Linked DNA regions of Sus scrofa. The main gene of each other region encodes a partner of the protein of the gene in region 2 in a complex. Links are inferred from orthologs where the notes say so. Each region holds a gene or a part of one and is shown on either strand. Other genes may lie near its edges. The genes, in order: INTS4, INTS7, INTS6, INTS12, INTS9, SEM1 and INTS2.

What was found.
Region 1: the proteins of INTS7 (region 2) and INTS4 are in contact, whole or in part, in a cryo-EM structure (PDB 8RC4), measured with the Homo sapiens proteins. The link is inferred for Sus scrofa from reciprocal best matches to the Homo sapiens genes INTS7 and INTS4. Residues at the interface, in NP_056249.1 of Homo sapiens: Lys137, Asn138, His140, His141, Arg144, Gln145, Gly175, His205, His206, Asp207, Ala208, Ser244, Ser245, Leu246, Val247, Lys282, Thr283, Pro284, His285, Thr286, Thr321, Ile322, Lys325, His326, Gly686, Tyr689, Glu704, Gln707, Gln708, Leu711; in NP_291025.3 of Homo sapiens: Glu536, Met539, Asp540, Arg571, His572, Ala574, Tyr575, Asp578, Ser579, Ser610, Phe613, Arg620, Leu624, Leu627, Gly631, Glu634, Leu635, Phe638, Arg641, Asp642, Arg645, Leu646, Glu648, Leu649, Gln650, Lys677, Leu678, Trp679, Asn680, Val681.
Region 3: INTS7 (region 2) and INTS6 share a complex: the UniProt entries of both Homo sapiens proteins name them as parts of the integrator complex. The link is inferred for Sus scrofa from reciprocal best matches to the Homo sapiens genes INTS7 and INTS6.
Region 4: INTS7 (region 2) and INTS12 share a complex: the UniProt entries of both Homo sapiens proteins name them as parts of the integrator complex. The link is inferred for Sus scrofa from reciprocal best matches to the Homo sapiens genes INTS7 and INTS12.
Region 5: INTS7 (region 2) and INTS9 share a complex: the UniProt entries of both Homo sapiens proteins name them as parts of the integrator complex. The link is inferred for Sus scrofa from reciprocal best matches to the Homo sapiens genes INTS7 and INTS9.
Region 6: the proteins of INTS7 (region 2) and SEM1 are in contact, whole or in part, in a cryo-EM structure (PDB 8YJB), measured with the Homo sapiens proteins. The link is inferred for Sus scrofa from reciprocal best matches to the Homo sapiens genes INTS7 and SEM1. Residues at the interface, in NP_056249.1 of Homo sapiens: Lys410, Leu413, Asn414, Val417, Leu448, His451, Cys452, Ala454, Ala455, Met458, Glu488, Val491, Thr495, Leu517, Glu518, Ser521, Asn522, Gly523, Trp524, Val526, Tyr527, Arg528, Arg531, Gln532, Arg535, Ser548, Leu549, Thr551, Gln552, Val553; in NP_006295.1 of Homo sapiens: Ala36, His37, Val38, Trp39, Glu40, Asp41, Asn42, Trp43, Asp44, Val48, Glu49, Asp50, Phe52, Ser53, Gln55, Leu56, Arg57, Glu59, Leu60, Glu61, His63, Gly64, Tyr65, Lys66, Met67.
Region 7: the proteins of INTS7 (region 2) and INTS2 are in contact, whole or in part, in a cryo-EM structure (PDB 8RC4), measured with the Homo sapiens proteins. The link is inferred for Sus scrofa from reciprocal best matches to the Homo sapiens genes INTS7 and INTS2. Residues at the interface, in NP_056249.1 of Homo sapiens: Leu38, Gly39, Glu40, Cys42, Glu43, Val46, Arg47, Asn77, Phe78, Leu81, Cys82, Leu84, Lys85, Gln88, Gln89, Asn114, Asp115, Pro116, Val117, Ala120, Ile121, Arg124, Val153, Glu156, Val159, Phe160, Ala163, Leu195, Lys196, Pro199; in NP_065799.2 of Homo sapiens: Gln27, Lys28, Val29, Cys48, Arg51, Met52, Cys55, Ala56, Ala58, Asp59, Gln60, Ser61, Trp64, Phe92, His93, Ala186, Glu187, Pro189, Ile194, Val218, Asp220, Ser221, Asn223, Glu224, Ser259, Leu262, Lys263, Arg265, His285, Gly294.

What each region holds. Positions count from the first base shown.
Region 1 is NC_010451.4:12,355,771-12,359,270, forward strand, and holds part of INTS4 (integrator complex subunit 4), read right to left. Parts: intron 1,132-3,500; coding exon 998-1,131; intron 1-997. UniProt on the Homo sapiens protein: Component of the integrator complex, a multiprotein complex that terminates RNA polymerase II (Pol II) transcription in the promoter-proximal region of genes.
Region 2 is NC_010451.4:131,331,030-131,334,529, reverse strand, and holds part of INTS7 (integrator complex subunit 7), read right to left. Parts: intron 3,047-3,500; coding exon 2,840-3,046; intron 1-2,839. UniProt on the Homo sapiens protein: Component of the integrator complex, a multiprotein complex that terminates RNA polymerase II (Pol II) transcription in the promoter-proximal region of genes.
Region 3 is NC_010453.5:16,441,276-16,444,775, forward strand, and holds part of INTS6 (integrator complex subunit 6), read left to right. Parts: intron 1-3,061; coding exon 3,062-3,187; intron 3,188-3,500. UniProt on the Homo sapiens protein: Component of the integrator complex, a multiprotein complex that terminates RNA polymerase II (Pol II) transcription in the promoter-proximal region of genes.
Region 4 is NC_010450.4:116,030,367-116,034,663, forward strand, and holds the start of INTS12 (integrator complex subunit 12), read left to right. Parts: upstream 1-1,497; 5' UTR 1,498-1,636; intron 1,637-4,297. Other genes in the region: GSTCD (glutathione S-transferase C-terminal domain-containing protein), read right to left, coding at 1,264-1,465. UniProt on the Homo sapiens protein: Component of the integrator complex, a multiprotein complex that terminates RNA polymerase II (Pol II) transcription in the promoter-proximal region of genes.
Region 5 is NC_010456.5:12,689,641-12,693,631, reverse strand, and holds the start of INTS9 (integrator complex subunit 9), read left to right. Parts: upstream 1-1,191; 5' UTR 1,192-1,496; coding exon 1,497-1,505; intron 1,506-3,937; exon of another isoform or gene 3,938-3,991. UniProt on the Homo sapiens protein: Component of the integrator complex, a multiprotein complex that terminates RNA polymerase II (Pol II) transcription in the promoter-proximal region of genes.
Region 6 is NC_010455.5:144,627,769-144,629,877, reverse strand, and holds SEM1 (26S proteasome complex subunit SEM1), read right to left. Parts: upstream 930-2,109; 5' UTR 878-929; coding exon 665-877; 3' UTR 501-664; downstream 1-500. UniProt on the Homo sapiens protein: Component of the 26S proteasome, a multiprotein complex involved in the ATP-dependent degradation of ubiquitinated proteins.
Region 7 is NC_010454.4:36,447,893-36,451,392, forward strand, and holds part of INTS2 (integrator complex subunit 2), read left to right. Parts: intron 1-614; coding exon 615-838; intron 839-2,847; coding exon 2,848-2,973; intron 2,974-3,500. UniProt on the Homo sapiens protein: Component of the integrator complex, a multiprotein complex that terminates RNA polymerase II (Pol II) transcription in the promoter-proximal region of genes.

The DNA.
Region 1 (3,500 bases), about 120 Mb from region 2:
TTATAATTCACTACAAATTTTTTTCTTTCTGTATCTCTAAGCTTTAAAAATAATAAAAATTTTGGGAGTTCCCATTGTGGTGCAGCGGAAACGAATCCAACCAGTATCCTTAAGGTTAGATCCCTGACCTTGCTCAGTGGGTTAAGGATCTGGTGTTGGCATAAGTAGGTGGTGTAGGTAGCAGACAGACTTCAGATCCCACGTGGCTGTGGCCAGCAACTGCAGCTCTGATTTGACCCCAAGCCTGGGAACTCCATATGCTGTAGGTTTGGCCCTAAAAAAGCAATATAAAATAAATTTTGGAGTTCCCTGATGGCCTAGCAGTTAAGAATGCAGCATTGTCACTGCTGTGGCTTGGGTTCAGGCCCTGGACCAGGAACTTCTGAATGCTGTGGGCAGGGCCTAAATAAATAAATAAATATTATTATTAAAAAATAAATTTGAGAATCATAGCTTCACGTAATATAACATGATTTGATCTTTGATTTGAAATATATTGTTCCAGATTCCTTCTTTTTGCCTAATCCAACATAATTAATAACCCAGGATATTAAAAATGAATTGCCTTAAAAGGTAAGGAAGGAGTTCCAGTTGTGGCTCAGTGGTAACAAATCATGTGGATTCAGGTTCGATCCCTGGTCCCGCTCAGTGGGTTAAGAATCCTGCGTTGCATTGAGCTGTGCTGTAGGTCGAAGATGAGGCTCCAGATCTGGCCTTGCTGTGGCTGTGGTGTACGCCAGCAGCTGAAGCTCTGATTCAACCCCTAGCCTGGGAACTTCCATATGCTGCACGTGTGGCCCTAAAAAAAGGGGGAAAAAAAAGGTAAAGGATACAGAGAAGCAAAAGTGCAAAACAATAGGAGAGCCCAAGAATGAATAAATATGTTTTCAGAGACTATACAGCTTGCTTTCTACTATTTAACAACCACAAAGGACTAAAAATCAAAACAAAATAGAACAAAACAAAACAAAAAAGACAAAAGATGTTTTCAACATACCCTCAAGGCAGGAACAAGATGAGAAAGACTGTCTCGGAGGTAAGCATAGTGCCTGAAGGTATGATCGGAGAACAATGCTGGCATTGTTGGACATGTTTTAGCAGCATTGAAAATAAGAACCAAAACTGCAATGTCTGATGGATAAGTGGGTTAAGTAAACCTGGAGACATAAAAGGTTGAGCCTGGACAGAATTTGGTGCCTCTACTTCCCGACCTCTCAATTCCCATTAAATAACTACCGTTTCTAATAAAGAAACACAAATTCAAGAAATACATTACCCCGCTCCAAATTACTCCAATTACTCATCCAATTATCAAAAAAAAAGGTCTGCGGTTGTTGTTTTTTAACGGCCACACCTGCGGTACGTGGAAGTTCCTGGACTAGGGGTCAAATCTGAGCTGCAGCTAAGGCCGATGCTGCAGCCATGGCAACATCAGATCCCAGTCGGATCCTTAACCCACTGAGCTACGCCAGGGATCGAACCTACATCCTCCAGAGACAATGTCAGGTCCTTAACTTACTAAGCCACAACAGGACCTCAAAAAGGTTTTTTAAAATAATGCCTGCTGCTGAGAATATAAATAATCAAATAGAAACTTTTGATATATTGCCAACTTAAGTACATACTGGCACAATCCCTCTGAATAATAGTTTGATACCAGACAGGAAGAGTCTTGGGAATGTATAATAATTCCACATCTCAAAATCAAACCACAGAATCATTTGTGATAGCAAATAATCACAAACAACCTAAATGTCCAAAACCAGGAGAATGACTACACAACTTCTGTTTCATCTACTTAATGGAGTATTACATAACCATTAAAAATTGTATTTATAAAAGACTCTTTTTTTGGTCACACCAATAACATGTGGAAGTTTCTGGGCCAGGGATCAATTCCATGCCACAGAAGTGACCCCAGCTGCTGCCATGACAATGCTGGATCCTTAACCCACTGAGCCACAGGGGAGCTCCTATTAAAGACCTTTAATATTATATCATAAGCATTTTGTCATAGTGAAAAAAGCAGGCTCTATATGTAGAGAATATGACAGCAGCTATCTATCATCAAATATTTGCCTAATAAAATGAAATGTTAAAAAAAATAAAAAGGAGCTCCATTGTGGCACAGAGGGTTAAGAACCAAACTAGTATCCATGAGGATTCGGGTTCCATCCCTGGCCTTGCTCAATGGTTTAAGGATTCAGCACTGCCATGAGCTGCAGTGTAGGTTGCTGACTCGGCTCAGATCTGGCATTGCTGTGGCTGTGGTATAGGCCAGCAGCTGCAGCTCCAATTTGAACGCTAGCCTGGGAACTTCCATATGCCACAGGTAAGGCCATAAAAAGAAAAAAAATTTTTAATTAAAAAAATAACAAGAGTTCCCACTGTGGCGTAGAGTGGGTTAACAACCCAGCATTGCTATCTGTGGCAGAGGTCACAGGTATAGCTGAGATTCAGTTCCTGGCCTGGGACTTCATATGCCACAGATACAGATGAAAAAGGAAAAGAGGAGTTACTCATCATGGCACAGTGGTTAATGAATCCAACTAGGAACTATGAAGTTGTGAGTTCAATCCCTGGCCTTGCTCAGTGGGTTAAGGATCCAGCGTTGCTGTGGCTGTGGTGTAGGCCAACAGCAACAGCTCTGATTAGACCCCTAGCCTGGGAACTTCCATATACCAGGGAAGCGGCCCTAGAAAAGGAAAAAAGACAAAAGAAAAAGGAAAAGAAACCCACAAATTCCAAACCCAAGCTTTTAAAAAGGGAGAAGGAAACATGTCAAAATATTAACTGTAGGAGTTCCCTGGTGGCCAAGCAGTGAAGAACATGGTTTGTCACTATTGTGCCTGGGGTTCGATCCCTGGGCAAGGAACTTCTGTATGACGAGGGCAGGACAAAAGAAACTTGACTGTCAATTATTGTGAATAGTATGATTCTGGGTACTAAATATGAAATTTCTTCTTTCTATTTTAAAATTGTTTCTATGTATATTAATTTTATAACAGAGGGAAAATCAGAAATTAAAAGACATACCTTCCAATCTTTGCATGTATCCCTATGGCAAAGCCTGCTATTTGCCTACCTAATATCCACTGTTCCCTTGTCTTCACTAATAGAATACTGATTTTATTCCAAATATCCTCTGACTTCCTGATTAGAACCCAGACCTGATGACTGGAGTTCTAGCAACAATTCTGGACAACTGAAAATGGCAGGAGAGAAAAACAGAAGGGGCCTGGATTACCAACAATAATGTAGAGCTGCTATACCAGCGCCAGACTCCTTACCTCAAGACCTCTTTTATGTCGGGGGAAAAAAATTCTAATTAATATTGATTCTACATTTGGGGCCAGTCTCTGTCACTTACATACTTCTTAAATAACACAATGTTCCAACTACCCAGAAAAATACATTAACATAATATGCTTCCAAAAGTGTTTACCTTTTTTTTTTCAGGCCACTTTAATATGTCCTGGGGAATGTGTAACAGCATGTAT
Region 2 (3,500 bases):
CGCGGCTCGGATCCCGCGTTGCTGTGGCTCTGGCGTAGGCCGGTGGCTGCAGCTCCGATTGGACCCTTAGCCTGGGAACCTCCATATGAAGTGGGGGCGGCCCAAGAAATAGCAACAACAACAACAACAACAACAAAAGACAAAAAAAATTAAAAAAAAAAAGACTATGCCAGATCCTTTAACCCACTAAGTGAGGCCAGGGATTGGTTCATGAGTGAACCCGAATCCTCACGGATACTAGTCAGGCTTTTAACCCACTGAGCCACAATGGAAACTCCAAAGGCAATCTATTTTTGAGAAGCTAATTTAGGTCCCTAACGAGCTGACTTTATACTAATCAAAAAGGAGATTATTCTGGGTAGATCTCGCTTCATCAGTTGAGTTCTTTAAAAGAGGGCCTTGAAGGTAAGAGATTCCCCTGCTGGCCTTAAAGTTTCCTCAGGTCTTACAGCTGTGAGGAACTGAATCCTGCCAACAACTGCATGAGTTCAAAAGAGGACTCTTGAGTCCAGGCTTCACACAAAACTGGCTCTGAACAACACCTTGACAGTAACTTCGTGACAACATGAGCAGAGGCCCCAGCGAAGTCACACCTGGGCCCTTGGAAACCGTAAAATAGTAAATGGGTGTTGTTTTAAGCCACTAAATTTATAGTAATTTTTTACATAGCCCAGAAAGCTAATATGAACGCTTTTTATAATTTATATTCCTAAGAAGCAAGATAACACCAGCATTAATCACTGTATGGGGAAATTCAGACACCCAACACTGCTATAGAGTCCCTCTAAGCATGGAATCTTTAACTTCTGTTTGGCTTGGCTGAAGTAGGTAAAAATACAGTCCTCACAGCTGAGTCTCGGGTCAGCTCATTCAGGTGTCAAGGAGTGAGAGGGTGAGTCATGCTCACACCATCTCGATTAAAAAGGGGAAAGTCACCATCAGGTCCTCACTTGTCAGAGAGATTTTTTAAAAATCTTGCGGAAATCCCGAGAGTGCGGTATACTCAGAACTGAGAGAGGTTCCAAACAACAGTAAGGATCAGACTGCCTCCCCCCCCGGATTCTTCTCAAGCACATCGTCATCTCTGGACCTCTTTTTTGACTCCTCAAAGCAGGGTTTGGCACATAGCCAGTGCTCACAGTCTGCTGAATAAAGCAACTCCGTTTTAAGAGGTGATCTGAGGCCCAAGAACCTGCCTTAGGTCACATGGCGCGAACGGCTGAACGGAGACGGACACAAGGGCCTTCTGACAGCCCACTGCGGTCCTCCTACATCAGAATCCAGCCCTTACCTACTGCCAAGCCTCCTTAAATACTGAGAGCACACAAACCATTAAATGACCATTAAATGTGCAATGGAGTTTTTCTTAATATTAATTGCATCTGCCTCACTGTTCTGTGAATCTCTCTCTCAGTTCTTACCACTTACTGCACCACTTACTGTTAAACCATTAACAATTTTTTGTTCCACATAAATTAGAAAATAGAATAATTCTACTGATTGGCGCCAACAACTATTCTTTGACTTTCTGAGCTATTTATTAGCTTGAAATAGGCAACAACAAACTCTTACGAGTTTTGATAATCATGACGAGAGAATCATGTAGTTAAAGTTACCCCTTAAAACGGTGAGGAGCCATTCCTACATTCCTGTTTTTTGTTTTGTCTTTTTCCTTTTTAGGGCTGCACCTATGGCACATGGAGGTTCCCAATTCCCAGGCCAGGGGTCGAATCGGAGCTCCAGCTGCTGGTCTACGGCACAGCCACAGCAACTCGGGATCTGAGCTGCATCTGTGACCTACACCACAGCGCATGGCAACACCGGATCCTTAACCCACTGAGCAAGGCCAGGGATCAAACCTGCGTCCGGATGGATACTAGTCGGGTTTGTAACCCACTGAGCCACACTGGGAATGCCCTATATTTCTGTTCCAAAACAGCCATCAATCAATCCCAGCTCCCTCCAAAATCATTCTTCAAAAGATGTGTATCCACAGCCATCTGAACAGTCTGTCTCTTCGGTGACGTCTGTTTATTCTCTGTTCTACTCTGAAGCGTTTCTTTCTGGATACATTACATTTATCTAATGTAAAAAGACAGTTTACATTATGTGATAAGTGAAAAAGGTAGATACACAGGTACCCAAAGTTTTACGGCCCTATCTAAATATATACAATTTTTAAGGTTGTGTGACAATGCTTTAAACGTGTTCAATGGTGATTAAACTCTTTACTCTTAAGGGGAAAAAGTCCTCACATTAACAGAGAAAAGGCTCATTTTAGGGAACAGGCTCTTATTTAGGATTATAACTAGTTTCAAGAAAATGTTAAGGATCTGATCTCTTTTTCTTGGTAGAAAAAAATGGAAAATACAGCTGGTTGTTCATTTGGAGTAGAGGGTATCACCAAGGGGTAAAAAGTGATCACTTGCTTTTTATTTACAAAGCAAGAAGCTCTAGTTTCTTAGTGAGTAGCCGCCAGTGATGGGAAGGGCTGGGTCTGGCGGCAGCAGCGACCCAGGCTGCGGTCTTCCCAACAGCAGTCTGGAAAGGGAGCATCCTACCTCCGCTAATTCTTTCTGCCTGGACTGTGCAATTCCCCTCCACGTGTCTATCGGACACTTGATAAAAAACCAAATGATAAATGTGCATCAACCCATGAACGTTAAAAAGTCGGGCAGGGGTTCATGACCTACCGTCACGTCCTACGTCTTATTTTAATACTTCCAAATACATACATATTAGCAGGGTTTTCAAGGTGAAAACGGGACAGCCCCCGGAAGCAAAGGGACACCATCCTCACACAAGCCATCACCGCCCAAGGAAAATGAGGAAGACTCACTGTTAAGGAAGCAATCCCTTTGTGGTAGAATTTCAGGGACTCAGCAATGCAAGAAAGTGCTGAACTAGCGTCGTCCTCCTGCAGGCCGGTGAGGCACTGCTCCGCGTGTGAGAACTCCTTCAGACTGTTGAGCCAGAAGTGGAGATGCTCCGAGGCGACCTGCGTCAGCAGGCTCTGGTACAGCTCTCCGGCCATGTCGTGACTACCCTGAAAGAAAGCCGGGAGGGCCCAGGATGAGGGTCTTACCCTTGAACCAGCTGCGGCAGCACCTCCAACAGAAGCCCAAACCTTGGATACGTTTTAGCGATCGTGCCTCCCGCTCTGTAACTCCGAGGGACTCGGTCTCCTATTTCTCCCGAGAAACCATGCCGAGCTGCTTTGCTGTAACACACGCCTGAAGTTCTTTAGCCACACAACAGCTCCGGAGAGAAGATAAACGCAATGAGCTACAACCCGAGGCGAGCCATGTAGTTCCAAACAGGCCCTTCCGCACGAGCTGTTCAGTGGTGTGGGGAGAACCCCAGCCACTTTTCCTCCAGTGGTGACCGGGGGAGGCGAGGGAGGGGGCTGAGTGCCCTGTGAGGCCGGGGCGATGGATGCCCAGGGTCCTGCTGCAGCTGGAGGCGTGGCACAGCTGAGGATGCGGGCGCAGCGGCGGCCT
Region 3 (3,500 bases), on a different chromosome or scaffold from region 2:
TCAGAGGAGAAGCAGGTTGAGGAGGGGCTCAGGGATTATATCAAATTATAAAAACATGCCTAATGGACATGTTGGTGGAAGTACTGAGGATAAAAAGCATTTTACAAGAATTACAAGACTTTTTTCAATTAAATAAAAATTTAACTTAGCCTCTATAAGGAGTGTTGTCTAACTTAGAAATGTTCCTTTTGTCTCTTACCCATTTTATTAAAATCATCATCTAGTATACTCTGGGGGGAAAGTAGATTTTGTTTTGTTTTTGTTTTGTTTTCTTTCACTTTACTGCCTTCAGACTCATCATATTTAGATTTTTTTGTGGACCCTACGTAACCACAAGTGAGCCAGCTCCTTGACTTAAAAGTGTGTGCTTTTCTCACAGATATAATTAGGGATCCCAGAAATTTTATCCTTCAATACAAAGTGCTATACATTTCCAGGAGGTGAGTTTTGACATAAAGAATAAGAGAAACATAACATAGGTTATAGGTTCACTTTGCAAAGATAGAAAAATTTGCTTTAACTTTGAAAAGAACTGATGGGTTTTTATTATTTTCTAAGTGTTTCAAGTTTATATACTTTTTCTCCAATTTTTATAAAATGTCTTTGCTAATAATTTTATTTCATGCAAAGGTCATAACTTATTTACTTGTATTTTTCTAATCAATTAGTTAATGATACAAGTTAGGGGAGTAGAGAGAGGATTGCCACATTTTATACTTAAAAACTTTTTTTTTTTAATGACATCTTGGGAATATCCTTAAATATCATGAAATAAGATACTGAACCTTTATAAAATTTTCTAAATACTCTGTGATTTAAGACAATCAGCCTTTTAATGTGTTGTTTTATGTGTATGTTTAAATTTACTCAGAAAAAAAGATTTTAATTTGACAATTCATTCATATAAGTATGATTCCATATAGACTTCCTATTTTAAATACTGATTTTGAATTAGCATTATGATTTTCAGGGAACTAGGTATATCCAGATGAAAGTTTCATATACCTTGTAAGGGTTTGAATCTTGGCTGTACTACTGAATACTAACTTGGATACCTTAGTTAATTTCTCTGTGCTTTAGTTTTCTCTTTGGAAAATGGAAAAAGTAACCCATACAATTGTTGGTAGGATAAAATAATACAATAATGTTATTGCGCCGCCGCACAAGCTTGGTCGGTAGAACATGAGACTCTTAATTATGTGATTAGAATAGTGCCAGGTACATAGACACTCAATAATTGGTGGATATTTTTATAATTATGGCTCTCGTTGTGTACAGGTAAGCCATCTGTTATGTGATACTTGTTTTTCTAAGTAAAGCTTACTCTGAGGATTTGAATCATACTACTGCCTAATACTCTCTTTCCTGAGTAGTCTTTAGCAAATCACATGTTTAGTGTAAATTGAATATACCGTGTTTGGTAATAATTTGTTGAATTTGTTAAAGATAGGATTTTGCCATTTTGAATTTATTACAGATAACATTATGTTTGATTAAAGATTTTTGGTGTTATTTTTCAGCACTGGTCTAGAGCAGCACACAAATAGAAATATGATATGTTACATATATAATTATAAATTATATAGTCACTAAAAAAGAACAGGTAAAAATCATTTTCAATAATATTTAAATCAGTATGTACAAAATATTTCAACATGAAAATGATATTTAAAAATGAGGTATTTTACATTATTTTCATCTTGCATCTACAAAATCCAGTGTATAACTGTATATCTCAATTTGGACTAGCTACGATTCAAGTTCTTAGTACCCATGTGTGGCCAGTGGCTGCAGTATGGGATAGCATAGGTCTAGATATATTTATTGAAAATCTGGTTTAAGAAATCTTTGCACTTGTGTCTTTTCCTTTTCTTTCCTTTTCTTTTTTTTCTTAAGGTTGTACCTGCAGCATATGGAAGTTCTCAGGCTAGGGGTTGAATTGGAGCTGCAGCTACCAGCCTATGCCACAGCCACAGCCACAGCCACAGCTGTGTGGGAACCAAGCCGCATCTGCTACCTATAGCACAACTCATGGCAACACCAGATCCTTAACCTACTGAGCAAGGCCAGGGATCGAACCCACATCTTCATAGACACTAGTCAGGTTTGTTACTGCTGGGATACAGCAGCAACTCCCATTTATATTTTTTCCTTTTTCTTTTTTTTCTTCTTAGGGCCACATCTGAGGCATATGGAGGTTCCCAGGAAGTTCCCATAGAGGTGCAGTGGAAACAAATCCAACTAGGAAACATGAGGTTGTAGGTTCGATCCCTGGCCTCGCTCAATGGGTTAAGGATCCGCCGTTGCCATGAGCTGTGGTGTGGGTTACAGCCACGGCTTGGATCTGGCGTGGCTGTGGCTGTGGCATAGGCTGGCAGCTGTAGCTCTGATTAGACCCCTAGCCTGGGAACCTCCATATGCCACGAGTACGGCCCTAAAAAAAGCAAAAAAAAAAAAAAAAAAAAAAAAAAAAATATATATATATATATATGTTAAAATATACAAGAGGGAAATTCACTTAAGATGGGTAGTCAGAAAACCATATGCTACTATCTGTATATTAAAGTGCAAGTACTTAAAATATGCAGTGCCTGCTAGCAGATCAATTAATAATTATTGAGTATCTGCTGTGTCCTTAGTATTACTCTTTAGTGATAATACTTCTTTTAAGCAGGAGTAAAATTTTTTGGGGGTTATCAGATGCTGTGTATGTACAATAAAGTTAAATTGTATTGGAAAACAGTTGGAGATAGTTTTTTATATTTATATATTTTAAAATCACATCTCACACAATATATTATATGTAGTGATTTTTTTTCATTGTGGTTTGTTCAGACCAAGATTTCTATTTTCTTTATACCTTTAATTAGAAGAAAAAATTTACATGATTGATTGATGACAACTATTTTTGTTTTGTTATTCTTCCATTAGATGATGAAAAAGTCAACTTTATCATTGAATTTTTGTAAATCAGTATTGTCAAAAATCCTACTGGGGTTCTTCTTTGCTAAAAGTAGTAATTTCTGCAACTAACAAGTTCTCTTTATTCTTTTTATTTCAGGCCGCTCATACTCTGTATGTTCTCCAAGGATGCTTAATCAGTGTCTGGAGTCCTTGGTGCAGAAAGTACAAAGTGGGGTAGTAATAAACTTTGAAAAAGCAGGACCAGATCCTTCCCCTGTAGAAGGTATTGTACTTTTTTAAACAGACATTTTAAACTTACTTTATCAAGTATTCAACTAGAACGGAAAAATTACTAGGATTTGGCTTTAACGTTGACAAGGCCAAATTATAAGATAACAGAATGACTGTCAGTAAAGAGGGAAGATTAAATAGGGAAGTCAAGATAATATGTTAGTCGTTCAGTAGCATCACCTTTTTAAACTGGTTGTTCATAACCCTAAGAATTTGTAAGAGCCAAAAACCTTTTTAAAGCATTTACAGATTAGCCTATTTCCTTTTTTAGTTTTGCAACAATGATTCTCTAGTATATACACTTC
Region 4 (4,297 bases), on a different chromosome or scaffold from region 2:
CAATTGAATTTATAGCAAAGAATTTATTTTCATAATATTTAAATGGCCATGGTTAATGTTTATATTGTCACACCACTAGTCTTGCCAGCTTTTGCATTTTTCTCCTTTAAACACTGTTCCTAGATAAGCTTAGAAAAATGTAAACATACTCTACCTTTCTTAAATAATTTAGCACAAGATCTATTATTAAATGTTGGCAAGAACTTATGACAAGGAATGGGCTCCCGGCATTAAGAGATCATGACCTTAAGAGTATCGGCGGAGTTCCCATTGCCGCGCAGTGTAAATGAATCTGACTAGTATCCATAGGATATGGATTCAATCAGTGGGTCGCAGATCCCACCTTGCCCTGAGTGGTGGTGTAGGTCACAGACTTTGCTCGGATCCTGAGTTGTTGTGGATTAGGCTGGTGGCTATAGCTCAGATTCCACCCCTAGCCTAGGAACTTCCATATGCCTAGACTGTGGCCCTAAAAAGCAAAAAAAAAAAAAAAAAAAAAAAAAAAAGGGGGGGAATAAGGGGAAAAGGAGTTCCCGATGTGGCTCAGCAGTAACGAATCCGACTAGTGTGCATGAGGACACTAGTCTGATCCCTGGCCTCAGTGGGTTAAGGATCCCATTGCTAGGGCTGTGGTGTAGGTCGGCAGCTGTAGCTTCCATTGGACCCCTAGTCTGGGAATTACCATATGCCAAGGGTGTGTCCCTAAAAAGCCGAAACAAACAAACAGTCACCTAATCCCAAACCAAGTAGAATTGGTGTGGGAAGTACGTGTATTAGTAAACGTTTCTGAAGTAAAAGCAATTTTCATGCAAGTTAAACCCAAACTTTCTATAGGAGTTTAAACCAAAGTGAAACGCTACTTTGATGGTAGTGCAGAAACAAATCGCCCAAAATGTAGGGGGTTCTTTGGAGCAACTGTTAGGTAGTATTCACATACTACTGCTTTCTCCAATGAGGAAGGGCTGGAATAGAAAACTCAGTAGAAAAAAAGATAAAAGTTAAAAGAGTGACCCAAGAGGTCTTAACTACACTTAGCAGCAAATGGCGAACGACCGAACAGACTGCTGCAACTGGAAGCTGCTCCTTTCCCCTTCAGTAAATGAAGCCATGGGGACTGGCCCTGGAAAAATTGCGAAGGGGCCCGGACCCCTCCACTCTTCCCGCCCTTCTTCGCATCGTCAACCCTGCCGGTCCCTGGATGAAAGAGGAGTCTTTGCAGGGTCTTGAGGACTGAGGAGCCGGCGGCGCGAGCGCCCTCCTTACCTGGTCGCAGAGGCGCGGCCAGGCAGGGAGGGTGCGTGAACGTGTCAACACTGGCCGCCAGCGCATTCCCGCCCCGCCCGAGCCGGGTTTCCCGAGGTCGCTTTAGGAAGTCTTCGCCTGCAGACCGCTCGCAGCTCCACGCGGCAGGGAAAAAAACAACAGAAGCAGCGCCGGGGAAACAGCAGCACCTGCCGTCATTCATAATCCGGCGCACCGGAAGAAGGTGGTTACGTCACTTCCTCCCGTCGCACAGTGAAAACGTTCCCCAGTCGACCCTGCTGCGGGAACTTTTGTTTTTCCGCTCTCCCGGCGGGCTAGTGCTGGGACCTGTTCGTCAGGCCACCGGGAACGGACGGAGCAGCGGGGCGGAGCGGTGAGTTGCGACGAGCCCCTCGGTTCCCAGCCGCCTCTGGGAGGCTTGAGACCTCCGCGAGGGGTGAAGTGGGACGGTAGTACTGTGCGGTCTTAGTTTCCTCGCCTCTTGTGAGGAAACTCATAATTTGCAGGCGGTCGAATGCCCAGTCTGACCATTCTCCCCTTACAGTTGGGGTCGTGCTTCCCCCGAAGGTTTTGCAGGCTGGGGTCAGCGGACCGAGGTTACAGCCCCAGGGATTGGGACCTTGGAACCCTGTCTCGGACCTTCCTCGGAAGGTTTTGGCGACTTCTCTGTGCAGCTCCCTCTGCCTCCTCTCATCTTCATTGGGCTCACTTGTCAAGACCCTTCCCGATGTTAGGCCTTCGGTGGGTCTTGCCTTTGATCAGAAGATTGATATTCCTTTTCTGAGTGTCGTTTTTCAGATTTTCTGTCGGTTGGTTGGTTTGGAATTAGGTTCTTTCCGCCTGTTGTCGTTTCCGGATGTGTGCCTAAGGTCATCAGTGTAATCCAGGGCCAAGATCCAGGAGGAATAAAAAGGGCAGTATCTTTAAAAGGGTATTTATTAGGATGAGTTGCATGAGTTTGCAAAGGGCAAAGCTTTCTAGAGCCGTTATTGAGGTGGCAACCCCAATATTGCACTCTGCCTGAATAGGTTCAGCTTCCTTCATCTCGTGCACGTGAAACTCCAACTTTGGACTTCTTTTAATGTTAGCTTGTAAGATAGATAATGGGATCTAGAGGAAAGCATATATTTATATATGAATACCCAATTTAGGTTGGAGAAATCACAGAAGCCCTAGAAAGTGACATTTAAAAAAACCCTAGTGCATTCACTCAACAAATATTTTTGAGAATATGTTAAATTCCAAGCACTAGGTATGTAACAGTTCTGAATAAAAGAATTCCCTTCTTGCATGGAGTTTACAGTCTAGTGGGGTTAATGAATTTAAATCACATGGAGGATTGGGTAGAGAGTAATGCAGATAGGAACATTGTACAAATCCCATGTCATGAAAAAGGTGTTTTCTGCTTTGTATTGTTTTTGCTTTTTTGATATTTGAGGGCTTGAGGTGGGATTGGGGGTGGGAGGAGTCTGGAGGGTGGTAATAGCTTTGAGTTTCTTTTTTGTTGCTTATTGCAGAGGGACTTTGGAAATGATTAGAATTGTGTAGAAGGAAAAAAACTATTATCCTTTGATCTCTAATAATTCTTTGGCCATTATTTTTTGGTACTTTACAAAATACAAACGTGATGGTAAAAAGATAGCCTTTCCCCTTAAAGTAGTCAGAGATTTATAGAGAATATAACAAATGTGCAAAAAAAAGAAAACAGAAAAAAAAAGACTGTGGTTCAAGGTAGAAAGTTCCAGTACCTTGAGAATGCACTCCAAGATTTCCCAGGGGAGGGCAAGATTATTATTATTATTATTTATTTATTTATTTATTTATTTATTTTTGTCTTTTGTCCTTTTAGGTCCGCACCAGCAGCTTATGGAGGTTCCCAGACTAGGGGTCCAGTCGGAGCTGTAGCTGCAGGCCTCCACCACAGCCACAGCAACGCCAGATCCAAGCTGCGTCTGCGACCTATACCACAGCTCACAGCAACGCATGATCCTTAACCCACTGAGCGAGGTCAGGGATTGAACCCGCAACCTCATGGTTCCAGTTCAAATTCGTTTCCACTGCGCCACGACGGGAATTCAGCAAGATTATTAGTATTATTGGGTGAGTAGGGTCCTCATCAGTACCCTCATGGGTCTTGATAGGATATGGAAATATGAAAATGGGTAAAAAAGCTCTCCAGACAGAAAAAAAATTGAGAAGTAGCAAGTCCAGCTAATGATTCTGGTCTATGGGAGATCTGGAGATGAAGAATTAGTTTTTGTGCCAGTTATTGAGTCTTTTTTTTGGGGGGGTGCACACCTGAGGCATATGGAGGATCCCAGGCTTGGGGTCGAATCGAAGTTACAGCTGCCACATTATGCCACAGCCATAGCCACACAGGATCCAAACTGAGTCTGCAACCTACACCACAGCTCACAGCAACACCGGATCCTTAACCTGCTGAGCGAGGCCAGGGATCAATCCTACAACCTCATGGTTACTAGTCAGATTAGTTTCCACTGAGCCAGAATGGGATCTCCTACTGAATCTTTTTAAATGCTAGGCCAAGAAGTTAGGCTTTATTTTAAAGGGAATGGGAAGTCTTAATTTTTGAGGAAGAAAGGAAGCAGGGAGGGAGGAAGAAGAAGGAAGGGAGGGAGGAAGGGAGATAGGGAGATGTGTTAACAGGAACATTAATATGGCAACAGTATTGAAGTCCAAGACAATCACTAGATTATTGCTACAGTGCAAAAAGCTGATAAAGACCTGAATCTGAGTAGTAGCAGTGGAAATGGAAAATAGCAACAAATGTGAGAAATGTTGAAATATAGGAATTGGGGAGGACTCAGGCAAAAATGTAGGCCTCAGGCCTGATTAACGGAGAGTATGTCATTTATTGAAAGAAAGTGCGGAACAAGGAACTTTGGGGTAGGAGATATTCATAATCTCAATTTCAGTCTTTATTGAATTTGAGAAACCATTGGGACAATTAGGTAGACATGTCTACTAAGCAATTAGAAATATGGGGTTTGAGCTTAAGAGAGATCTGAGTGGG
Region 5 (3,991 bases), on a different chromosome or scaffold from region 2:
TTTCCTTTCCCACCTAGCTACCGACTTCGGGATGCAAAAAGCCATCCACACAGCATCTCACGTCTACAGTGCTCCTACCCTGAGTTTGGGGTTGGGATGTGTCCCTGGGAGGATGGGAGAAGGAGTGTGAGCGGGCGATGGGACACAAACGACTTGCTCCCCACGGCCACCCCGCGCCGCGGCGCCAGCCCAGAGGTCCAGGACCCGCACCTCGCGCACGCTTCTCCGCCCAGGCCCAGCTAAAAGCTCCGACTCCGTCTCCCGAACTTCCTCTCTAGAGACATTTATTCAAGGCTAACACATCACCCAAGTACACGTCACCCAGTTTCAAATACAGTTCTGCACCCCAAACAAACCCACACCTCAAATTCCCCTCACAGTTTCCCAAACTCCAAACAAGAGACCCCACCTCCAGGATTCAAACCTTCCGCCCACCAAGGAGGTAACCAGGAGGAAAGAGTTAGGGAGCAGCCGACGCCTTTCCATTTTCGCCCCCCACAAACTGCCCCACCCCAGACCCTGCGTCCGGGTCACCCCCCTCGGAAGCCCCACGCTTCCTCCCTCCTCTCAGTCGGGCCGCCTAAGAGACCCACCCCCGGCCCACTCACTTTCTCTCCCAAACCCCTCCAAAAAGAAAAAAGAAAAAAAGTGAAGAGAAAGAAGTGAAGAAAGAGACTTGAGGGAGCCCGCCTTCCAAATCGCTCGACTCACCTCAGAATCCTTGCTGAGTTCTCTCCGCCCGGCACAGCCCCCTCCCCAACGTCCCAGTACGAAGGGCTGAGGTAGGGAGGAGGGGAAAGCGGGAGGGGGAGGGGTGTCTTCCGCGTGGGGCGCCCGTCGGGAGGGGACTGGGGAGGGGTTGAGGCCGGCGCAGGAAGAGGAGAAGGGGGAGGGGAGGCCCCTATCTCCCAGTCTCCCCCTGAAAACCTCCCTTGTCTCAATCACATCAGACTGACTGTCTTTGTCTGGCTGACAACCGCCATATTGATATCAACAGCCCCGCTCCCACCTGCTGCCGCCGGGCGGCCCTGGGAGTTGTAGTTTCTTACTCCCTCGAGTAAAAGCGCGGGACTCGGCGCCCGGAGGCCCTGGGGGACTACAGCTCCCGGCAAGACCTGCGCCATTCGCCTTCCCACAGGGAGGAGGGGAAAGGGGCGCCAGAGTCGTAGGGACTACACATCCCAGAATACCGTGGGCTCTGGGCCCAGACAGGGGACATGATATCATGCTGGGATGGAGAGGGAGAATGATTTGGCGGCGGGGAAGAATTTGAGCCGAAGGAAGGAGGAAAGAGAGAAAAAGGAAAGATGACCACAGTTCCCATGATGCAAGAAGACAGGACTACATTTCCCATGATGCATCCGGAAGGGGGCGTAGGGAAGAAAGACTGCATGTCCCGCGATGCTCGAGGCTGGCGGGTGGCGGAGATTGAACCGGAAGAGGCTTTCTGGTTCTGAGGAGTCCAGTGACTGATATTGAACAACCTAAAGTCCAATATGAAATTGGTGAGTCTCTGCTCCTAGGTCAGAGGGCAAAGGTGATGCCATATCCTTTTGGACTTCGTCGTTTCCAACTTGTGGTGGGAACCGTCGCGGAAGAGGGGTGGCAGTTAGAGACTTAGAAAGTGGGGTGAACCAAGGAAAGCTGCTCCTTGTGGTTGAGTTTGAATCCCACCTCCCACCCCCGACCCCCAGATCTTATTTATCCCTTGGCGGCTCCTGTGGTTAGATAAGAGATTGACTCTGTCACCTTACTTCACACACGAACTGAGGTTGGGCTTTATGAACTAGGTTTGACTGATTTCACAGCTGCCATGTGAGTTTTATAATTGGTTAACTTCTTTCCACGCGATTGGCGTTTGATTAGCGTTTCTTACAGTTTTTGAAAAGGCTTTGGTTACATATGAGCAGAGTTTAGAAAATATTGGGCAGAGTAATCACTTAAGTTTTCTGTTATAGACTCCTAACTGTCTTTGATATTCAGAGAAGGACGAGATCATGGTATGGTATGATCGTGGAAGATTTAAGTTTTAAACCCTGTATAATATGGTTTAAGTGTCAAGGCATTCAGTCTAGGGCTGTAGGGACTGTATGAGCCAAGATTAGATGGAGCCTGCCAGGATACCTGGAAAATTCTCTGCATCACAAAACTCAAAACACTTGGCTTGTAGGGAGGCTGCTCAGGCCTTTATTTTGAGCCACGTTACTCTGTGTGCACACAGATTTAGCTACTTTAACTAGTTTATTCCAACTGTATGGTATTAGTAGAAAAGCAGGTGTGAGATGCTGTTTCTCAACCTCTTAAAATTCGCATTCCTGCAGCCAAGTGTTGTAAATCTTTACTTTCCTGTAATTTTAGTAGAAAAATAAAATGTGCATTTTCTTAATTGTTTGAGCATGCTTTTCCAAAGTGTGCAGCCCAGGCTGGTGCCTGCACACACACGCTAAGGGCCTGTGCTCTTCAGAGTTTCAGCTGTTTTCTGAGGAGTCAGAGAAATAGAAGTAGATTCAACACTAAAGCTGTTTAGGTAAGGAGAAGGACACAGATCAGTAAACCTTGAGGATATCAATTTGCTTCTGGGTCAGTTTTCAAGACATGTAAAAATGCCAAATTGAAAGTCACCACCCATATCCAAAAGAAGTGTGCAATGAAGAAGATACAAAAGTAATAAATGATATTTCACTGTTTTCATGGTAAATGGAAGCATGTTCAGTGTTTAGGGATTTAGAGGATGATGGGGGTTGGGGGAGTGGGAGACAGCTCTATGGAAAGGAGACTCTTTAACAGTTAAGCAAGGTGAGTAGGCTAGGGCTTTCCTTGAAGAGGGTTCAGCTTTAGAAGCAAAAGAGCTTTGCACCTGAGTGCTTGAAATAAAGACCATGTTTTCTTGATAAAGGATAAATCACATTTGGTATGTATGCTCGGTGCAGAGGCAGGAAAATGGAAAACAGTTCTTTTCCATAATAGCTCATTTGCTGAGGGTATCAGAGAGTTAGGGTTTAGTTTACATATGCTTTGGTTTGCTTATGAAATCCTCCTGCTTACCTCATTTAAAGAAGATAAAAAAGGGGGAAAGAGAAACTATTTTTCTTTCAAGAATCATAAAATGCCTTAGAGGAATAAGGTAGTTGATGATTCTGTGAGAATATCTATTGACACAGCAAAGTGTTTCAAGAACACTGACACTCAGTAAGCAGGCTTCTTTTTTGTATCATGCCTCCCATAGAGTTGGAATAAATTTTCCTAGGGCCTAAAAATTTTTAACTTTGTGTACTGCTTCCTGAATATGTGATAAACCATGTTTTGTATTTCTATCATGAAACACAGAAATATTTTTTATAGAGTACATTCTTGTTTTGGAGATTATGACTTCCCCAAACACCCTTCCCACGTACAATCTATGACCATATCTTGGTGATTCTGCAGTTCTTAAACTGGTCTGTTTCTCTCCAGTACCACCAATACAGCCTTTGTAGGGGCTCTTTTCACTTGACACTTGAAATTCAACAAAACCTTCTAACTGGTCTCCCACCCTCAAATCCATTCCCTACTCCATGCCCAGAAGTTGTTTTAAATTGCAGTGTTCCTTTAAAACCCTTTGGTAGCTTCCTTTGCCCTTAGGATAGTCTTAAAATTATTTTTTTGTTGTTCTGTTTTAGAGTTTTGTGGTTTTGGGGTTTTTATTTTTTATTTTTGGTTTGGGAGGGGTTTTTTGGCCGCACTTGCGGCATACAGAAGTTCCTAGGCCAGGGATCAGACCCAAGCCACAGCATTGTCAATGCTGGATCCTTAACCTGCTGAGCCACAAGGGAACTCCTTAAAATTCTTGACTTGACTTGCTTGATCCTGTAGATTCTGGCCCTGCTGACTTCTCCAGGCTAATGTCTAGCTCTCCTCTCTTGACCTCCTTGTTCCGTTTGTATTGTATGTCTTTCAGTTCCTTGAAGTCCGCCTGCTCTCTTTTGCCTCTGGGACTTTAAGTGTGTTCCAT
Region 6 (2,109 bases), on a different chromosome or scaffold from region 2:
TGGGGATCCATTGATGGTTTTAAGTAGGGAGTGATGTGATCTAAGTAAGATTTTAAAAATATCACTCCAGCCATGGAGAATGGATTGAAGGAAGGGAAGGGTGAAAGGGAAATCGGAATTGACCCCAAAGGAACATTAATGTGCAAATGATTTATTCAGAAAATGTTTCTGGGGCAGCTGTTAGGAAGAAAGTAGGGGTTAAAAACATGCATGGGCACTATTTCATCACCATCTGGTGGAAGGAAGATGCTGTGCAGGGAGTTAGGAATTAAAAACCATTATAAAGTCTTCTGCCACTTTAGTCATTAAAATCCCTGATTTTTAGTTCCCCATCTATAAAATGGGGAAGTAAATCCTTACAGAACCATTGTGGAAATGAAATAAGGAAGTAAAAAGCTTTTATGAGAGCTAATATAATACAAATATTATATTTATAATATAAATAATGTTACTAATATTTTGTTGAAGATTTTTATGTCTATATTCATCAATGATACTGGTTTTTTTTTATTATATCAAACATTTATTTTTTGTGTTACAAAAACAAAAATAAGTCCAAGCAGGTAATGAAATAAACATTTTTTTAAGTGTCCCCCCTGGGTTCTCTGTTCCAGAATTTAGTAAACAGTTCAAATTTAGGTTGCTTCAACATTTCTTCTGGATGCTATGAGGTCTCCATCTTATAACCATGTTTCTCTAATTCAGCTCCTAACTGATTGGAGAAGTCATCCTCTACATTGTCATCATCCCAATTATCCTCCCAGACATGTGCATCTTCATCTTCATCTAAACCAGCCCAGTCTTCTGCAGGAAACTCCTCGAACTCGTCGTCCTCCTCCAGCAGACCCAAGTCTACCGGCTGTTTTTTCTCTGACATCGCGACCCTCAGTTCCCCAAACCTCTCAGGCCAGTGGAAAAGTTGGGATACTGGTTTTTAATTTTCTTTTTTGTTGTTTTTTTGGTCTGGTTTTGGTATTGGGGTGATGGTGGCCTCATAGAATGAGCTTGGGAGTATTCCTTCCTCTGCAAAGTTTCAGAAGGATAGGTGTTAACTCTTCTCTAAATGTTTGATAGAATTTACCTATGAAGCCATTTGGTCCTGGACTTTTGTTTTTTGGAAGTTTTAAAATCTTGGTTTCAATTTCAGAACCTGTGATTGGTCTATTCATATTTTCTATTTCTTCTGGTTCAGCTTTGGAAGGTTGTACCTTTCTAAGAATTTGTCCATTTCTTCTAGGTTGTCCATTTTATTGGCATGTAGTTGCTCGTAGTAGTCTCTTATGACCCTTTGTATTTATGTGTGGTCAGTTGTAATTTCTCCTTTTTAATTTCGAATTTTGTTGATTTGAGCCCTCTCCCTTTTTTTCTTGATGAGTCTGGCTAAAGGTTTATCAGTTTTGTTTATCTCTTCAAAGAACCAGCTTTTGTTTTATTGATCTTTTGTTTTCTTCATACTTATCTGATTTATTTCTGCTCTGAGCTTTTATGATTTCCTTCCTTCTACTAACTCTGGGTTTCATTTGTTTTTCTTTCTCTAGTTCCTTATTTGTAAGGTCATGTTATTTATTTGGGATTTTTCTTGTTTCCTGAAGTGAGATTGTATTGCTATAAACTTCCCTCTGAGAACTGCTTTTGCTGTGTCCTATAGGTTTTGGATCATTATGTCTTTGTTGTCATTTGTCCTATAGGTTTTGGATCATTATGTCTTTGTTGTCATTTGTCTGTAGGTATTTTTTATTTCCTCTTTGATTTCTTCAGTGAATCATTGCTTGTTTAGTAGCATATTTTTTAGTCTCTACTAGTTATTAGAGAAATTCAAATCAAAACTATAACGAAGTATCACCTCACACCAGCCAGAATGGCCATCGTCAAAATGTTTATCAATAATAAATGCTGGCGAGGGTAAGGAGAAAAAGGAACTCTCCTATGCTGTTGGTGGGAATGTAAGTGGTTGTAATCACTGTGGAGAACAATATTGATATGATCCAGCAATCCCATTCCTGGGCATCTATCCAGAGACAATCGTGAGTTGAAAAGATATATACACCCTAACATTCATTGCAGCCCTGTTTACAATAGCCAAGACATGGAAGCAACCTAAGTGTCCAT
Region 7 (3,500 bases), on a different chromosome or scaffold from region 2:
CCGCAACCTCATGGTTCCTAGTTGGATTCGTTAACCACTGCGCCACGACGGGAACTCCCAATTCAACTATTTTTATTGAGTGCTCGCTATATGTCAGGCACAGTACGTCAGACCTTGCTGAGTAATAGATGACTGGATGTTATCCCTGTCTGAAGAGCTGTGGAGGTGATGGACTTGTAAACTCCTAAGTGCAGCAGTCCTGGGAGTTAAATGTTTTAATAAAATAGTCATTTCCTTGTCATTTAAGGAATTGGGGTTAATAGCAGAGATGTTGTATAAACCCAAGCTCTTGTGTCTCCAAAATGTAAGCACTTTGTACATATGACTCCACTAGTCATTATGTATTTGAAAACATCATTTATATGAGATTTAACATTTCAGATTGTCATTATTTAAGTGTATCCTGTACAGATAGGCCAAATTAGGGTGAGTAGAGTATTTGTCAAGTGAACCAGTGAATTTAGAGTTTGCTTGATTGATTAAAATGAGATTCTGTAGTTATGACAGACTCCTCAAATGGGTCAGTTTCAAGTGGAGAGCTTTGTCTGAGCTTCTTTTTGACTTCGTAAGTGTTCCATGCTTTCTCCCTTTTGTGGTCCTTATTTCTTGCAGAGAAAAGAGAGACCAGTAGTTCTGTCCTTTGGCAAATGAGGAGGCAGCTTCTTCTGGAGTTGATGGGCATTCTTCCCACAGTAAGAAGTACCCGCATTGTGGAAGAAGCTGATGTGGAGATGGAGCCCAATGTGTCTGTGTATTCGGGGCTGAAAGAAGAGCATGTTGTGAAAGCCAGTGCGCTCTTACGTCTGTACTGTGCTTTGATGGGGATCGCTGGACTAAAGTATTCAATAATTTGATATTTTACTTTTTTATCATTTTATTTTCTCGTTTCTAATCCCCAGAAAGTGAGCCATAGGCTTTTTATTCAGATGTAGGTTTTCTGTTTGGCTTACGTAGTGAGCTGGCCTATGTCAAGAATGAATTCCTGGAGTTCCCTTGTTGTGCAGTAGGTTAGGGATCCAGCATTGTCACTGCTGTGGCTCGGGTTGCTGATGTGGCCTGGGTTCGATCCCTGGCTCGGGAACTTCATCATGCTGCAGGTGCAGCCAAAAAGAAAAAAAAAAAAAAAAAAAAAAGAATGAATTCCCAAGGCAAAACATTCCCAGTTGGGATGTATCCATCTATTTCGGTCTGATTATAAATCGAATTATGTAAGGATGGGAGGGGCCAGAGCAGTGTAAGAAATGTATGACTGCACCACAGCTTGATGTGACTACAGTGAATAATCTGTGAGTGATCCTTTAACCTAGTGTAGGCAGCTAGTTGAAGTAAGCGTATCCTATTTCTTTTACAGCTGAGATCATAAATTATTTACAGATGATATGTGATTATTAAACACAAGATTTCTTAGTCACTGTATTACATCCTTTTGAGTGATATCCTCAACTGTTGTAAGTAGAGTCCTTGGTTTGCATGTTTCCAATACCATGGAAACACATTATTTACCACACTTTAGTTAAATAACACCGCTCCCTCGACAGCTCATGTATCAGTTACCGTGAAACCTTAACCAAATTATTGTCTCAAGAGCAAACTTTGCCGAGAGCTTTTCAAGCCCCACATCGCTGTATAAACAAAAGACGCACATGGTGATCAGTGACCAGTCACATCATTTCTTCTAAAATCTTTTGGTGACTGCTCACCATCCAACTATTACTATCAGTTCATGAGCAGACAACACAGTGGATAGTTGTATTGCCTCCTTGTCTCTCAATGAATAAACCCATGTGATAGTTGGCAAAACTAGAATTAAAAGAGGGAATTGGCCAATAAAAATGAAAGTGTAGCAAAGAAACAAAAAATGGGTTAACGCTGGAGTGACGTATGAACCAAAACGTAAATAGAAGAAATAGCTGACTGTGAGAATGGTCTGACTGCTTCCACTTGAGAGACCCTAAATGGGTGGCCAGATGAATTTAGTGAAGGCGAACTTGAGGATAGTCATTGTGACAGAAAGAATGAAGACCCAGGGACCAGTGGTGGCAACAATCTTCACTTTAAAGTAGCTCTCAGGTATTTCATGACTGAAATATCAGCACATATTTATAATATATAAGCATATATATATATATATATATATTTATTTATTTATTTATTTTTTTGGTCTTTTTGCCTTTTCCAGGGCTGCTCCTGCGGCATATGGAGGTTCCCAGGCTAGGGGTCTAATCAGAGCTGTAGCTGCCAGTCTACACCAGAGCCACAGCAACACCGGATACGAGCCACATCTACAACCTACACCACAGCTCACGGCAATGCCATGATCCTTAACCCACTGAGCAAGGCCAGGGATTGAACCCGCAACCTCATGGTTCCAGGTCAGATTCGTTAACCACTGTGCCACGATGGGAACTCCCTAAGCATATGTTTATGATATAATACAAAGCATAAGATGTTGGTAGCTGATCCAAGCTTAGAGGGGGGTTATGATAAGTCACCAAGGCTTAGAGAAGATGCTCATTCCATATTGTAAGTTATATGACGAGAAGGTGACAAGGGCCATTCAAACTACTCTTGATAAATCTTTCACAAAGAAAACATTGTAATTCCCACTGTTTCTAAAATATTCAATTATACAATGCTATATACACTAGTTTTACTATTTAAAAATATTTCCCTGTGCATTATAACCAACAGAGTTTTTAATGTCGACAAAAACTTAACATCTTACAATATTACAGATTTTATAAATTTTATAAAGCTCAAGATCTGTCTAAAAGGTTAAACTGTTGAAAAGTCCCTTCTTTTACTCAACTGAAAAAAGTAAAGCCTGGTAATGTGTTCCTTTTTTAGACCAACTGAGGAAGAAGCGGAGCAATTACTGCAGTTGATGACAAGCCGACCTCCTGCTACACCGGCTGGGGTTCGCTTTGTTTCACTTTCCTTTTGTATGCTACTGGCCTTTTCTACACTTGTCAGGTATCTAACTATATAATTGTTCTATTTTCTAAAGGTCTGCTTTTGTGTATTTATTAAAGCACAGCCTTAATAAGGAGCTCACTACAAAAATGGTGTAAGGGAGTTCCTGTTGTGGCTCAGCAGTAATGGACCCGACTAGTAACCGTGAGAACTCGGGTTTGATCCCTGGCCACACTCAGTGGGTTAAGAATCCGGCATTGCCATGGACTGTGGTGTAGATCACAGATGTGGCCTGGATCCTAACGTGGCTGTGGCTGTGGTGTGGGCTGGCAGCTGCAGCTCCGATTAGACCCCTAGCCTGGGAACTTCCATGTGCCATGGGAGTGGCCCTAAAAAGACCAATGAACAAACCCCCCAAACAAAACAAAAAACCCCCCAAATGGTGGAGGTTTAAGTTCTCTAGTGGTTCATCAGGTTAAAGACCTGGCATGGCCACTGCTGTGGCTCGGTTTGCTGCTGTGGATGGATTTGATCCTTGGCCTGAGAACTTTTGCATGCTGTGGGTGTGGCCCCCCCCAAAATAGTGT